Xenopus tropicalis: one gene and its partner. The protein of the gene in region 1 purifies or fractionates together with the protein of each later gene. This does not show direct contact. Links are inferred from orthologs where the notes say so. Each region holds a gene or a part of one and is shown in the gene's direction. Other genes may lie near its edges.

Evidence for each region. Proteins that work in one complex are often made in the same cells at the same time.
Region 2: the proteins of asf1b (region 1) and cdan1 purify together in Homo sapiens (co-immunoprecipitation; 5 studies listed by BioGRID and IntAct, counting the BioPlex papers as one, with this or other methods). This does not show direct contact. The link is inferred for Xenopus tropicalis from reciprocal best matches to the Homo sapiens genes ASF1B and CDAN1.

What each region holds. Positions count from the first base shown.
Region 1 is NC_030679.2:134,219,706-134,225,551, reverse strand, and holds the end of asf1b (histone chaperone asf1b), read left to right. Parts: intron 1-1,180; coding exon 1,181-1,296; intron 1,297-1,490; coding exon 1,491-1,667; intron 1,668-2,334; coding exon 2,335-2,535; 3' UTR 2,536-3,695; downstream 3,696-5,846. UniProt on the Homo sapiens protein: Histone chaperone that facilitates histone deposition and histone exchange and removal during nucleosome assembly and disassembly. Cooperates with chromatin assembly factor 1 (CAF-1) to promote replication-dependent chromatin assembly.
Region 2 is NC_030684.2:105,934,821-105,941,299, forward strand, and holds part of cdan1 (codanin-1), read left to right. Parts: intron 1-563; coding exon 564-618; intron 619-714; coding exon 715-848; intron 849-1,604; coding exon 1,605-1,708; intron 1,709-1,974; coding exon 1,975-2,124; intron 2,125-5,143; coding exon 5,144-5,207; intron 5,208-5,798; coding exon 5,799-5,877; intron 5,878-6,435; coding exon 6,436-6,479. UniProt on the Homo sapiens protein: May act as a negative regulator of ASF1 in chromatin assembly.

The sequences.
Region 1 (5,846 bases):
ACATTTGCAAGGGCTTGTCCCTTTCCTTGTACAGCTAAATATTAAAACATTGCTCTAAAGCAGGGTTCCCCAACCTTTTTTACCTGTGAGCCACATTCAAATGTAAAAAGAGTTGGAGAGCAACACAAGCATGAAACATCTTCCTGGGGTTACAAATAGGGGCTCTGATTGGCTATTTGGTAGGCCCTGTGTGGACTGGCAGCCTACATGAGGCTCTGTTTGGCAGTACATATGGTATTTATGCAACCAAAACTTGGCCAAAAGCCAGGAATTCAAAAATAAACATCTGCTTTGAGGCCACTGGGAGCAACATCCAAGGGACTGGAGAGCAACATGTTGCTCACGAGCTACTGGTTGGGGATCACTGCTCTCTAAAGGTTTCGACCTAACTGAATCCTGCAAAAATGGCTGTGGTTTTGGTTGACACCTTGAATTCAGTGCATCCCTGTTATGCATTTATATATTTTTGACAATTGTGGTGTCAGAGCTCAAATGGCCAGTATTGAGCCCAGCAGTGAAAATGAGCACAATGAATGAATGAATGAATTACATTTTTATTTCATGTGAAAAACCAATGCTCCTACATAATTAGATGCCATTGTAGTCAGAAAAAAGCTCCCATGTATGTGTGCATGTATAATAATGCAGTACTGGGGCAAGCAGTCAGATAGGGCTCCTAAAGATCAGTTCTCACAGTGCAGTTTGTGGTGGGCAATGTTAAGGTTTCAAGAACATCCCCAGTTTTAATGGTTACACTCTGGGCAGCTTGGTCACTGCAGATGTCACATACAGTATATGATGGTATGCGTGCTGTTTCAGCTTAGGCTATTCTAATTATCAATTACTTTGATGGTTTTTCCAGCTATTGCTTTTAGATAAAAAAAAAAATACATTGCATGTCTTCAATTATTGATAAACTGAAAATATGTTTACGGTTTTTGTCTTTATGCCTAAAATATGCATTTACCCCTTCACTGCTGCTCCTCTACTTTGTAGTTGGTACAAGTGGGTGTTCAGTGAGAAGTCTGGCAGATTCTCCCCCCCCCCCCCCCCCCCCATATGCTCCTTGGTTTTAAACCAGACAAGCAAAACTTTATTGAATGCATTAATCGGGTTATATGGGTGGTTATTCGCCAGCAGTATTGTCACATTTATTGTATGCTATGCACTGTCTCATTAGATCTGGAATGGAAGATCATCTATGTGGGATCTGCTGAGAGTGAAGAATATGATCAGGTGCTGGATTCTGTCTTGGTGGGACCTGTCCCCGCCGGCCGCCACATGTTCGTCTTTCAAGTGAGTGTCAAAGAGCTGACATTCCATTTGTCTCCTATCTTGCTTATTTACAGAGTCTTGCATTAGATCAGATTGACGTGAAGTCTTATTAATACATCTTAATTGACTTACCATGGACTGATATGGAGGATTTTTTTCTTTGTTTTATATTTTTAGATTGAGCACCTATAGTAAATTTCTCTCTTCCTATGCAGGCAGATGCTCCCAATTCCAGCCTTATCCCCGAGTCCGACGCTGTAGGAGTGACTGTAGTGTTGATTACTTGCACGTACCGTGGTCAGGAGTTTATCAGAGTTGGATATTATGTAAACAATGAGTATTCTGATCCAGAGCTACGGGAGAACCCACCTCTCAAACCACATTTCGGCCAGGTATTTACATAACTTGTGTGTCTGTGTATGTAAGGCTTTTTGATTAGTATTGTCAAGATCGGTAACCCAGAACAAGGGTCCCGGTCATAGCTCACACTTCTGCCTATAACGCCCACCTTTGGCTTCGGGTTGAGCCCTCCACTACTCGGGTGCCGCCAGGTCTTAAGGTGAGAGGGAGCTTACAAGAATCCAAATCAGGCAGGCCGGGTCAAAACCTGAATGGTAGCGCAGTACACAATCTGGATCCAGAAGCAGAGTCAAACAGGGAGAATTAACTCAGTCAGGATACAGGCCGGGGTCAGAACAAGACAGGACAAAATGCGTACCCAGGAACTATGGTAGGTAGACTTATAACAGGCATGGGAGAAACTAGGAGGTAGGAATTCAAAGCCTAGATAATTACAGATTCAAAACAGGTGTTGGTAAATAAAGGGAGCACCTGTAGCCATCATTCCTGCCTGGATAACTAAGACTATTATTGAAGTGAACCAGGAACCCAGCAGCCAGGGGGGCTGGGACTGATACCACCAATTGGGAGGTCCCTGGGAAAAGTTAGGCCCACAAACTGCTTGTGGCATCTTGCAGGTTTTGGTGTTGGCCTGCTTGCCACTCTGGTTTAGATGACCATTTGTCCAATTTTTTTTTTTTTTTTTTGATCTATCTACAGCTTCAGAGAAACATCCTGGCATCAAACCCACGCGTCACACGCTTTCACATCAACTGGGAATGCGCGAGCGAGGCAAAGATGGAAGACATTGAAAACGTGGACCCTGCCTCTAATGCAATGTTGCCTCCTAACTGTGCCCCGTCTAAGGGTCTTGCAGCTGCACTTAACCCAATCCCAGAGAATTCCATGGACTGTATGTGATAGCAGTAACAGAGGGGCAATATGGGCTGCAGCAAGGGAAACTGCCACAAACTCTCTACCACAACAGTCTCGGCTTCCTGTGAGCACTCTACAATCACTGCCAACTTAACACTTCTGTCGCTCCAGAGTGTCTAGCTTGCCGGTAGTTCCACTCACCAATTAGTAGGATTTTTTTTTTTTTTTACACAAAAGCAGTCTTCCTCTCGTAACGAGACAGATCTTCCCGCCTTTCGCTCAGCAGTATATTATTTCAACTGAAAACTTCCAACCTTTTAATGTTTCAGTGTTTTATATTTCCAAAGCTACCAAGGCCCATCCATTTAAACATTTTGTTACACTTCATTCTTTCACACTGCTATCTTTGTCTCCTTTTTTTCTTTTCTTTGAGCCTGTAAAAGTAAGGCTCTGAGCTGAATGTAGTGGCCCTGGAGTCCCTAACAGCATCAGTTTATAGCTTCCGTGGGTACCTTTTGCCCGTCGCATTATTGCCACCTCCTCTACTGAGGCATGTCGGTACATTCAGCGAGGAAGAGACTTCATTTCCTGCAATTAAATCTCTCTGCTGCCTGGTGCTAATTAATCATGCTGTCACTGACCTTAGATAAACATCGGCTTTGTGAGCCATTGCTGGTAACTTGTTTGAAGCCGGTTTGTCTTTGGGAAATGCAAGATAAGGCATAGAATTTAGCCTAATTGCAAAAATGGTCTTGCATGAACTGGCACATTTTCTTGCACCCAACATGCTAGGAATCTTTATCTACCGGACAGGTACATAAATGAGCAGGATTGCTCTAGTGTTCTCCAGGAAATTGCAAGCATGGCTGTGGACCCCGCAGCCACTGCAACAGACTGTTTTTGTTTTGGTTTCTTTTGTTTTTTTTCCTCTAAATATTACGGACTGTGGCTTTCCAGCCGAAATAAATTACTATCTCAAGGTCTTGAGATATTTGGGGATCCCCAGCCCCACAAATAAGGGGGAGGAGGCAATAGATATGAGTCCTCCCCAAACTCCAGGAGCCTCTCTTGTTTTGTATTTTTGTTCAGCTGCCTTAGCTGGATGTAAATGGTTGATGGCCATTAATTTCCTATGTGTTTTTTTAAAAAATTATTATATATATATGTGAGTAGGAATTTGCTTAAATAAAAGCACTTAGAGCAAACAACTGTGAACTTGAATTCTGATGGTAACTTTATTGCCCACATTATATGTATTACTGAGCAGGGCGCAGTAGTAAACCACCTGGAAGACTGACCGCATAAAGGTGGTTTTAAGGTCCCCATACACAGGCCGATTGTAGCTGCCGATATCTGTCCCTTGGACCGATTCAGCAGCTTATCGGCCCATGTATGGGGCAGGAACGAGGGCCCTGCCCGACCGATATCTGGCCTGAAATTGGCCAGATATTGATCGGACAGGTTAAAAGATTTAGATTTGCCCGTTGCACAGGGCCAAACGATCGAATTAGCCTACATTTTCCCCGATATCGCCCACCCGTATGTGGGGATATCGGGAGAAGACCGCTCGCTTGGTGACCTCGCCAAGCGAGCAGGTCTTAGTGTGTATGGCCACCTTTACACAAGGGTGTAGCAACCATATGGGAAGCCATTTATTGTTGTTGGTGTGGCCTCTGCCAAAGCAGTTGACCTGTAATGAATTCACATTCTTATAAGTATATAGAGCCAATTTTTTTGGGAGTGCTTGAGAGTAAATTTGCAGAGCATTGTCCACTTGTACTTACTAGAGCTGTGATCCCCAACTAGTGACTCATGAGTAACATGTTGCTCACCACCCACTTTGATGTTGCTTGGCGGCAAAAATTGGGAGCACAGAGACCGTTTTACTCCAAACAAAGCTTCCTGCAGGCCACACGGGGCTTATTTGGCATCCCCAAAGAGCTCTCTCTATACTTGTGTGGCTCCTGAGTAAAAGGTAGGGGATCCCTGAACTAGAGGATCATATTGGAGACCCATGTGACCATGAACCTGCATCTGAATCCAGATCTTCTCCAGAAGGGATTTTACATTCTGTTTAATCAGCGTACAACCCCAAAATGATTTATGAAGCTTGAAGGGGACAGTGTTGTGCCGACAGGCTGCAATTATCAACCAGTAATGAGCAGCTAATATCTAGAAAACATAGGCATCAAATGAGGGCTCATAGCTGGCACAAGTTTGAAAGTAGGGATGCATCAAATCCAGGATTCGGCCGAATCCATGGTCCTGGACGAATCTGGATCCTAAAAATCACATGACTTTTTGGCACATAAACACAGTAGTTGAAAAGTTTTCGCCAGCAACATTTATGCCTTTCAAACCCTAACTAGCATACGCTAATTACGATTTGGATTCTGTTCACTATTCGGCTGAATCCTTTGCAAAGGATTTGGGGGTTCGGCCAAATCCAAACTTTTTTAGATTCGACGCATCCCTAGGTGAAAGCAGGTTGGGAGTTGTAGTCCAACAACTTCTGGCGACCCAAGATTATTTGTTGAGGATCTTAAAGGAATAGTAACAACAAAAAATTAAAGTGTATCAAACTAATATTATATGTACTGTTGCCTTGCACTGGTAAAAGTTGTGTATTTACTTTAAAAACCCTACAATAGTTTATATAAATATGCCCGGGGGCAGCAGTTCAAACTGAAAAAAGGTAAAAGGGCCCAGATTACATAGCAGATAACATAAGCTGCATAGAGTCCCATTGTATTGTATAGAGCAGTGCTGTCCAACTTCTGCGGTGCCGAGGGCTGGAATTTCTCTAGCATACATGGTGGAGGGCCGCTAATGGAAGCCAGTTTTGACCACTCCCACTTCAAACCACACCCATTGGGCTACACAGCGGGGTATTTATATAAACTATAGTAGGGTTTCTGTAGCAAACACCCCAGCTGTACCAGTGCAGGAATGGCTGCCCCCGGGGCTACACAGCGGGGTATTTATATAAACTATAGTAGGGTTTCTGTAGCAAACACCCCAGCTGTACCAGTGCAGGAATGGCTGCCCCCGGGGCTACACAGCGGGGTATTTATATAAACTATAGTAGGGTTTCTGTAGCAAACACCCCAGCTGTACTAGTGCAGGAATGGCTGCACCCGGGGCTACACAGCAGGGTATTTATATAAACTATAGTAGGGTTTCTGTAGCAAACACCCCAGCTGTACCAGTGCAGGAATGGCTGCCCCCGGGGCTACACAGCAGGGTATATATATAAACTATAGTAGGGTTTCTGTAGCAAACACCCCAGCTGTACCAGTGCAGGAATGGCTTCCCCCGGGGCTACACAGCGGGGTGTTTATATAAACTATAGTAGG
Region 2 (6,479 bases), on another chromosome or scaffold:
AGCGGTTATGTTTTTGTGCAGTTAGAGCCTTTGTACAGCTGTGTGCTTAAAGGGATGCTGGTTTGGTTTTATGTGATTAAATGATTACACCTTACCTAGTAATGGGTGGGAAAGAGTGTCCATATAAGCACAAATGCCCTTGTGAATGTGTATTTCATATAAATGGTTGTAGATAAGTCTCCCACACCATGCTTTTTCAAGCACAAGGCTAGAAAAGGCAATTCAGTTCCAGGTAAATCCCATGTGCATCTTAACCCTAGACAGTTATTATTAAAGTGTAGCATGTTGGAATCTTTCATACTATAACCGTATCATTGATCAATTGCTTCCAGATTCTTATTTTGCCTAAATTTTGATAGATCTCGTTTATATATTCACCTCTTAATCATTTCATTGGATAAAGCCTGAGTTTTATGGATAGGATTCCCCAGGCTGCCTTATACTAAACAGGAGTTCCAGTGACACAGCTAGGCTGTTTTGGGGTTGGGAATGCTAGGGGTGCTTTCCAGTTTGCTACAATCTTAAGTCATAGAGCATTATATTTTCTATTTCACCTCTGCTAGGACTCCATGCCTTTGGTGGACCAACAGCTGCTGTATAGTTGTTGCCCATATCTGGGTAAGTAACATCCATTAAACTAGTGCTTTTTCACCAATTGTTCATTGTATTGTGTGCATGTATATATGTAACATGTTTGCTTTATATCATTTACAGGAGAACTGAAAAAGTTACTGTTATCATTTGTGGCTGGTAGCAGTGCCAAAAATGGGGGTTTTCTGAGGAAAATAACTCCCACTGCTGCAGAGCCTCTTATCCCAAAGCCTACCTTATCACAAAAAAAACTTCAGGTAAAATGAATGGTTTATCCATTTATGTAACAGTGGAGAAAGTAAGGGACAGCAAGTATCTTGTGGTTCTGGATTCCAGCATTCCTGTAGTAGGTGCTCTAAGCCTGGGCTTGGCATGGTGCAAGAATCCATTAGGACAGATACATTCTGTATGTACGTAGTTTCCCTAGCTATTTCACCATTACCTTATGCCACTGTCTTTACAGTTGCACGTTCAATGTGCCAGCCAACAGAGAAGCAGTATTGTCAGTCTGATAGCAGATACAGTTGTGCAAGCGTTAGAAGCTTTCATGATAAAAACAAAAACCCAATAGTATCATCATAGATGAGGTTGAAAAAAGACACACGCCCATCAAGTTCATCCTGTTTAAGTGAAGCCTACCTTACTGCTAGTTGATCCAGATTATGTAATTCCACACAAATTAATTTAAATATGCACATAATTAGCTATGCAGTGTAACTATGGGCATATGAACAGGTGTGGGGAATGTCCATGTATTTTACTAGTTAGGGGTAAAAATCTCGGAACCGATTTGTAAAATATTAAGCTGGGAATTCTGAAGGATTCCTAGCAGTTCATTATTTTCCCCATTTATCAACAGTTTTCTGACTGGAAGATTTTAAATGAATTAACACGTTTATGAAAGCTGATGCCTGGCTCAAGCATGTGTTCAGTCAATCATCCTTCTGTTCCTATGGGGGGATAGTGATCATTTTATGTTGCTGTAGTAGGTGTTTCTGCTCATATTTGTACAGGCCGAACTGGAGCAAGCATTCTTCCACAATCAGTCGCCCTCTCTTCGGAGAACAGTGGAGTTTGTGGCAGAACGAATTGGTTCCAACTGTGTAAAGCACATCAAGTAAGTGGTTGTAAGGGTTTGCAGGCTCTTTCTATTAATGCTAGACATGTTCTAACAAGATATTCATGGACTATAAATAAGCTGTGCATTCTGATGTGCATGTCTTCATTGCAATACTTTATAAATATCCGTTGCTTACAGGAGAGCATTTTTTATATATTGGGTTTGGTTTGTAATGCTATGGTGGCGTAAGTACTACAGTGACAGTGTGTGGGTATGCAAGCCGGACTGTTTGGTACATTTACAGCTGAGCTTATTTCCTGCAGGGCCACTCTTGTGGCAGAACTTGTGAAGAGGGCAGAGCTCCTCCTGCAGGATAGTGTGACAGAGGACAGTTCTACCCACAGCAAGCAGCTTGAGACTGTATGCACCAAGCTCTGTGAAGATGGCAGGCAGGCAGTGCAGAAAGGCAAAGAGTAAGCTCAAAAACACTATATATATACACTCCTATTTTGATATTACTGTTGCTATGCAAGTTGCCATTATGAATATGTTTTCTGGGGCAGCTTTTAATGGGAGAAACAGAATAGCTGTATTACAATATACAGTGGTGTGAAAAACTATTTGCCCCCTTCCTGATTTCTTATTCTTTTGCATGTTTGTCACACTTAAATGTTTCTGCTCATCAAAAACCGTTAACTATTAGTCAAAGATAACATAATTGAACACAAAATGCAGTTTTTAAATGAAGGTTTACGTTATTAAGGGAGAAAAAAAACTCCAAATCTACATGGCCCTGTGTGAAAAAGTGATTGCCCCCCTTGTTAAAAAATAACTTAACTGTGGTTTATCAATTTCAATTTTCAATTTCAATATCAATTTCTGTAGTCACCCCCAGGCCTGATTACTGCCACACCTGTTTCAATCAAGAAATCACTTAAATAGGAGCTACCTGACACAGAGAAGTAGACCAAAAGCACCTCAAAAGCTAGACATCATGCAAAGATCCAAAGAAATTCAGGAACAAATGAGAACAAAAGTAATTGAGATCTATCAGTCTGGTAAAGGTTATAAAGCCATTTCTAAAGCTTTGGGACTCCAGCGAACCACAGTGAGAGCCATTATCCACAAATGGCAAGAACATGGAACAGTGGTGAACCTTCCCAGGACTGGCCGGCCGACCAAAATTACCCCAAGAGCACAGAGACAACTCATCCGAGAGGCCACAAAAGACCCCAGGACAACATCGAAAGAACTGCAGGCCTCACTTGCCTCAATTAAGGTCAGTGTTCACGACTCCACCATAAGAAAGAGACTGGGCAAAAACGGCCTGCATGGCAGATTTCCAAGGCGCAAACCACTTTTAAGCAAAAAGAACATTATGGCTCGTCTCAATTTTGCTAAAAAACATCTCAATGATTGCCAAGACTTTTGGGAAAATACCTTGTGGACCGACGAGACAAAAGTTGAACTTTTTGGAAGGTGCGTGTCCCGTTACATCTGGCGTAAAAGTAACACAGCATTTCAGAAAAAGAACATCATACCAACAGTAAAATATGGTGGTGGTAGTGTGATGGTCTGGGGTTGTTTTGCTGCTTCAGGACCCGGAAGGCTTGCTGTGATAGATGGAACCATGAATTCTACTGTCTACCAAAAAATCCTGAAGGAGAATGTCCGGCCATCTGTTCGTCAACTCAAGCTGAAGCGATCTTGGGTGCTGCAGCAGGACAATGACCCAAAACACACCAGCAAATCCACCTCTGAATGGCTGAAGAAAAACAAAATGAAGACTTTGGAGTGGCCTAGTCAAAGTCCTGACCTGAATCCTATTGAGATGTTGTGGCATGACCTTAAAAAGGCGGTTCATGCTAGAAAACCCTCAAATAAAGCTGAATTACAACAATTCTGCAAAGATGAGTGGGCCAAAATTCCTCCAGAGCGCTGTAAAAGACTCGTTGCAAGTTATCGCAAACGCTTGATTGCAGTTATTGCTGCTAAGGGTGGCCCAACCAGTTATTAGGTTCAGGGGGCAATTACTTTTTCACACAGGGCCATGTAGGTTTGGATTTTTTTTCCCCCTAAATAATAAAAACCCTCATTTAAAAACTGCATTTTGTGTTTACTTGTGTTATCTTTGACTAATAGTTAAATGTGTTTGATGATCAGAAACATTTTGTGTGACAAACATGCAAAAGAATAAGAAATCAGGAAGGGGGCAAATAGTTTTTCACACCACTGTATACAAATAATAATACAACTAGATTAAGTGTGATCCTTATTAAACATAGAACATCTATACACTCACATAAACTATATATACAACCACTAATACTAACTGTAGATATTAGTATCACAATAGCCTTGGATATTCTGATTGTTCAAGAACTCATCCAGGCCCCTCTTAAAGGCATTAACAGAATCTGCCATTACCACATCACTAGGAAGGGCATTCAGCAACCTCACTGCCCTCACTGTGAGAAACCCCCTACGCTGCTTCAAATAGAAGCTCCGTTCCTCTAATCTAAAGGGGTGACCTCTGGTGCGCTGATTGTTTTTATGGGAAAAAAGAACACCCCCCATCTGCCTATAATCCCCTCTAATGTACTTGTACAGAGTAATCATGTCCCCTCGCAAGCGCCTCTTTTCCAGAGAAAACAACCCCAACCTCGACAGTCTCACCTCATAGTTTAAGTGAATGTAAAATTGCTAAGAGTGCTATTCTAACTAATTTTGCAATTTTTTTTTCAAGATTTAAAGGAATATTAAGGGATATATGCACTGTTAATATGAATTAAGTTGTTACACAAGCGCCACCAGCTGGTCAGTAAGGGCTGCTCTGATGTTTTTCTGGTTAGGGAAAGCACCCCAGTAGCTTTTCTCACGTCTTTCCTAACCAGAAAAACATCAGGCCAAGCCCCCTTTCTCCTGACAAGTTCCTCGACTACACCATGGCGGGAAACTGACCAGCAGGTAGCGCTGCTGTAACAAAATTCATTATTTATATTAAATTGTATTATTTATATATTAACTGTACATATTTCCCTTAATATCATTGAATCTTTAAAAAAAAAAACAAACAACAAAAACAAACAAACCTGTATTGTTAAAACTGCTTAAAATAGCACTGTCATCAATTTCACATTTACTTTTTTTGAAGGTTTACTTTTTCTTTAAATTGATCATACAGATCACACACAGAATTTGTTTTTTACCAGGTTACAAGATGAGCAGATCTACCTCCTATACGATGAACCAATTAATCTGTTTCAGTTTTATTTTAAATTACAAAATTTAAATGACCCCCATTTGGCCATGGACCCCATTCACATGTGGATGCTGTCTTCAGCTGATGGGATGTTCTGCCTGGCCTAAAGCACTCCTATCACATTTTGGTCTGGGAGTCGCTTATTTTGACTCTGATTGTACAGTGAATGTTCTATATTCTGTGCCCTTTTATTTCGTTAGTGCTCATTTACTGCATATTGCTGTTTGTAGGTATTGCACAAAGAAAGTTCCAGAGGCCCTTCGAGTTCTGTTGCCTGAGGAGATATCTGCATCTGTAGGTAGCGCTACTTGCTTTGCAAAAATGTTGAGAATATTATTGTAGTATTGTAAAACATTTACATTAATTTGGACAAAATAAATAGGCATTTCTTCTCGAAAAGTGTCAGAATTCATTCTAACCAACTGCTAAGTGTAGAGTTAAAGGAGGAGAGTGGTCCTGGACACCAAAGCTTTAGTCTGTTCTTGCTCGTAAGCATTGGCACCACAGAACTGACCTATGGAGGGCTTTGGGGGTGTACCAACTAGGGAACATTGGTTCACACACACGTTCCCCTTACCATGCCTTTCTCGCCTAAACTAATATTCTCTTCCTGATTGGATACAGCAGGCATGTTGTTGCTAGAAAGGCAAATGGATGGGCTATGTATAACTACCGTAGGCATGGCTAAACCCCTTTATCCAATATGGATTTGTAAGCAGTATTAATAATTAATAATGTATAGTTAGTAAATTTAGTAATATAGTTAGTAATTATGTAATTAATGATATAGAACTGAATTCACTTCAATTTCTATGTATGTGTGTACATATTTTGTTTATATGGTGCATGATCATATTTTGGTGGTTTGTCTCTTTTCCCCTCTAGGTGCTGAATAGTGCTGAGGACATAGCAGTGGCCCTAGCTATAGAGAAGGCATGCTCCTGGCTACGTGCCAATATATCAGGTAGTTTTAACACATAAAGCCATATTTAAAAGTATCACTGAACTATATCTTTTTGAGTCCTAAAAATACAGTATCCTGCTGCTCACTGTAGGCATGTACAATGGAAGCATTGTCTCCTTTAACCTGTGATTGCTGCCCACAGATGCTTTACTGTGTGCATTTGATCATAGTAACATGTGATCCACAAGTAGACCCATTATTACAGTTTGTTAAAAAAATGGTTATTGTTTTTTCTTGTTACATGTTTTATCTTTATTCAGGTTTTCACCTATTCATATTCCAGTTTTGCAGCATTCAAACTACATGGTTGCTGGGTAATTTGAACCCTAACAACCAGATAGCTGCTGAAATTCCCAAGAAGAGCAGTTGAAGAGCAGCAGAACAAAAAGCTAAAAAAATGCAAAAAACACAAATAAAAAAAAATGAAGACCAATTGCAGATTGTCTCAGAATATCATTCTCTAAATAATAAAAGTAAATTTAAAGTGAACTGCCCCTTTAATATGATTGATCACCCTGTAAAGATCAGTGACTAAATACTGCACCACTTCTTCCATAGCATTAATAAAAAGGGAGGTTAAAGCTGCATTTGCTCGAATGGTG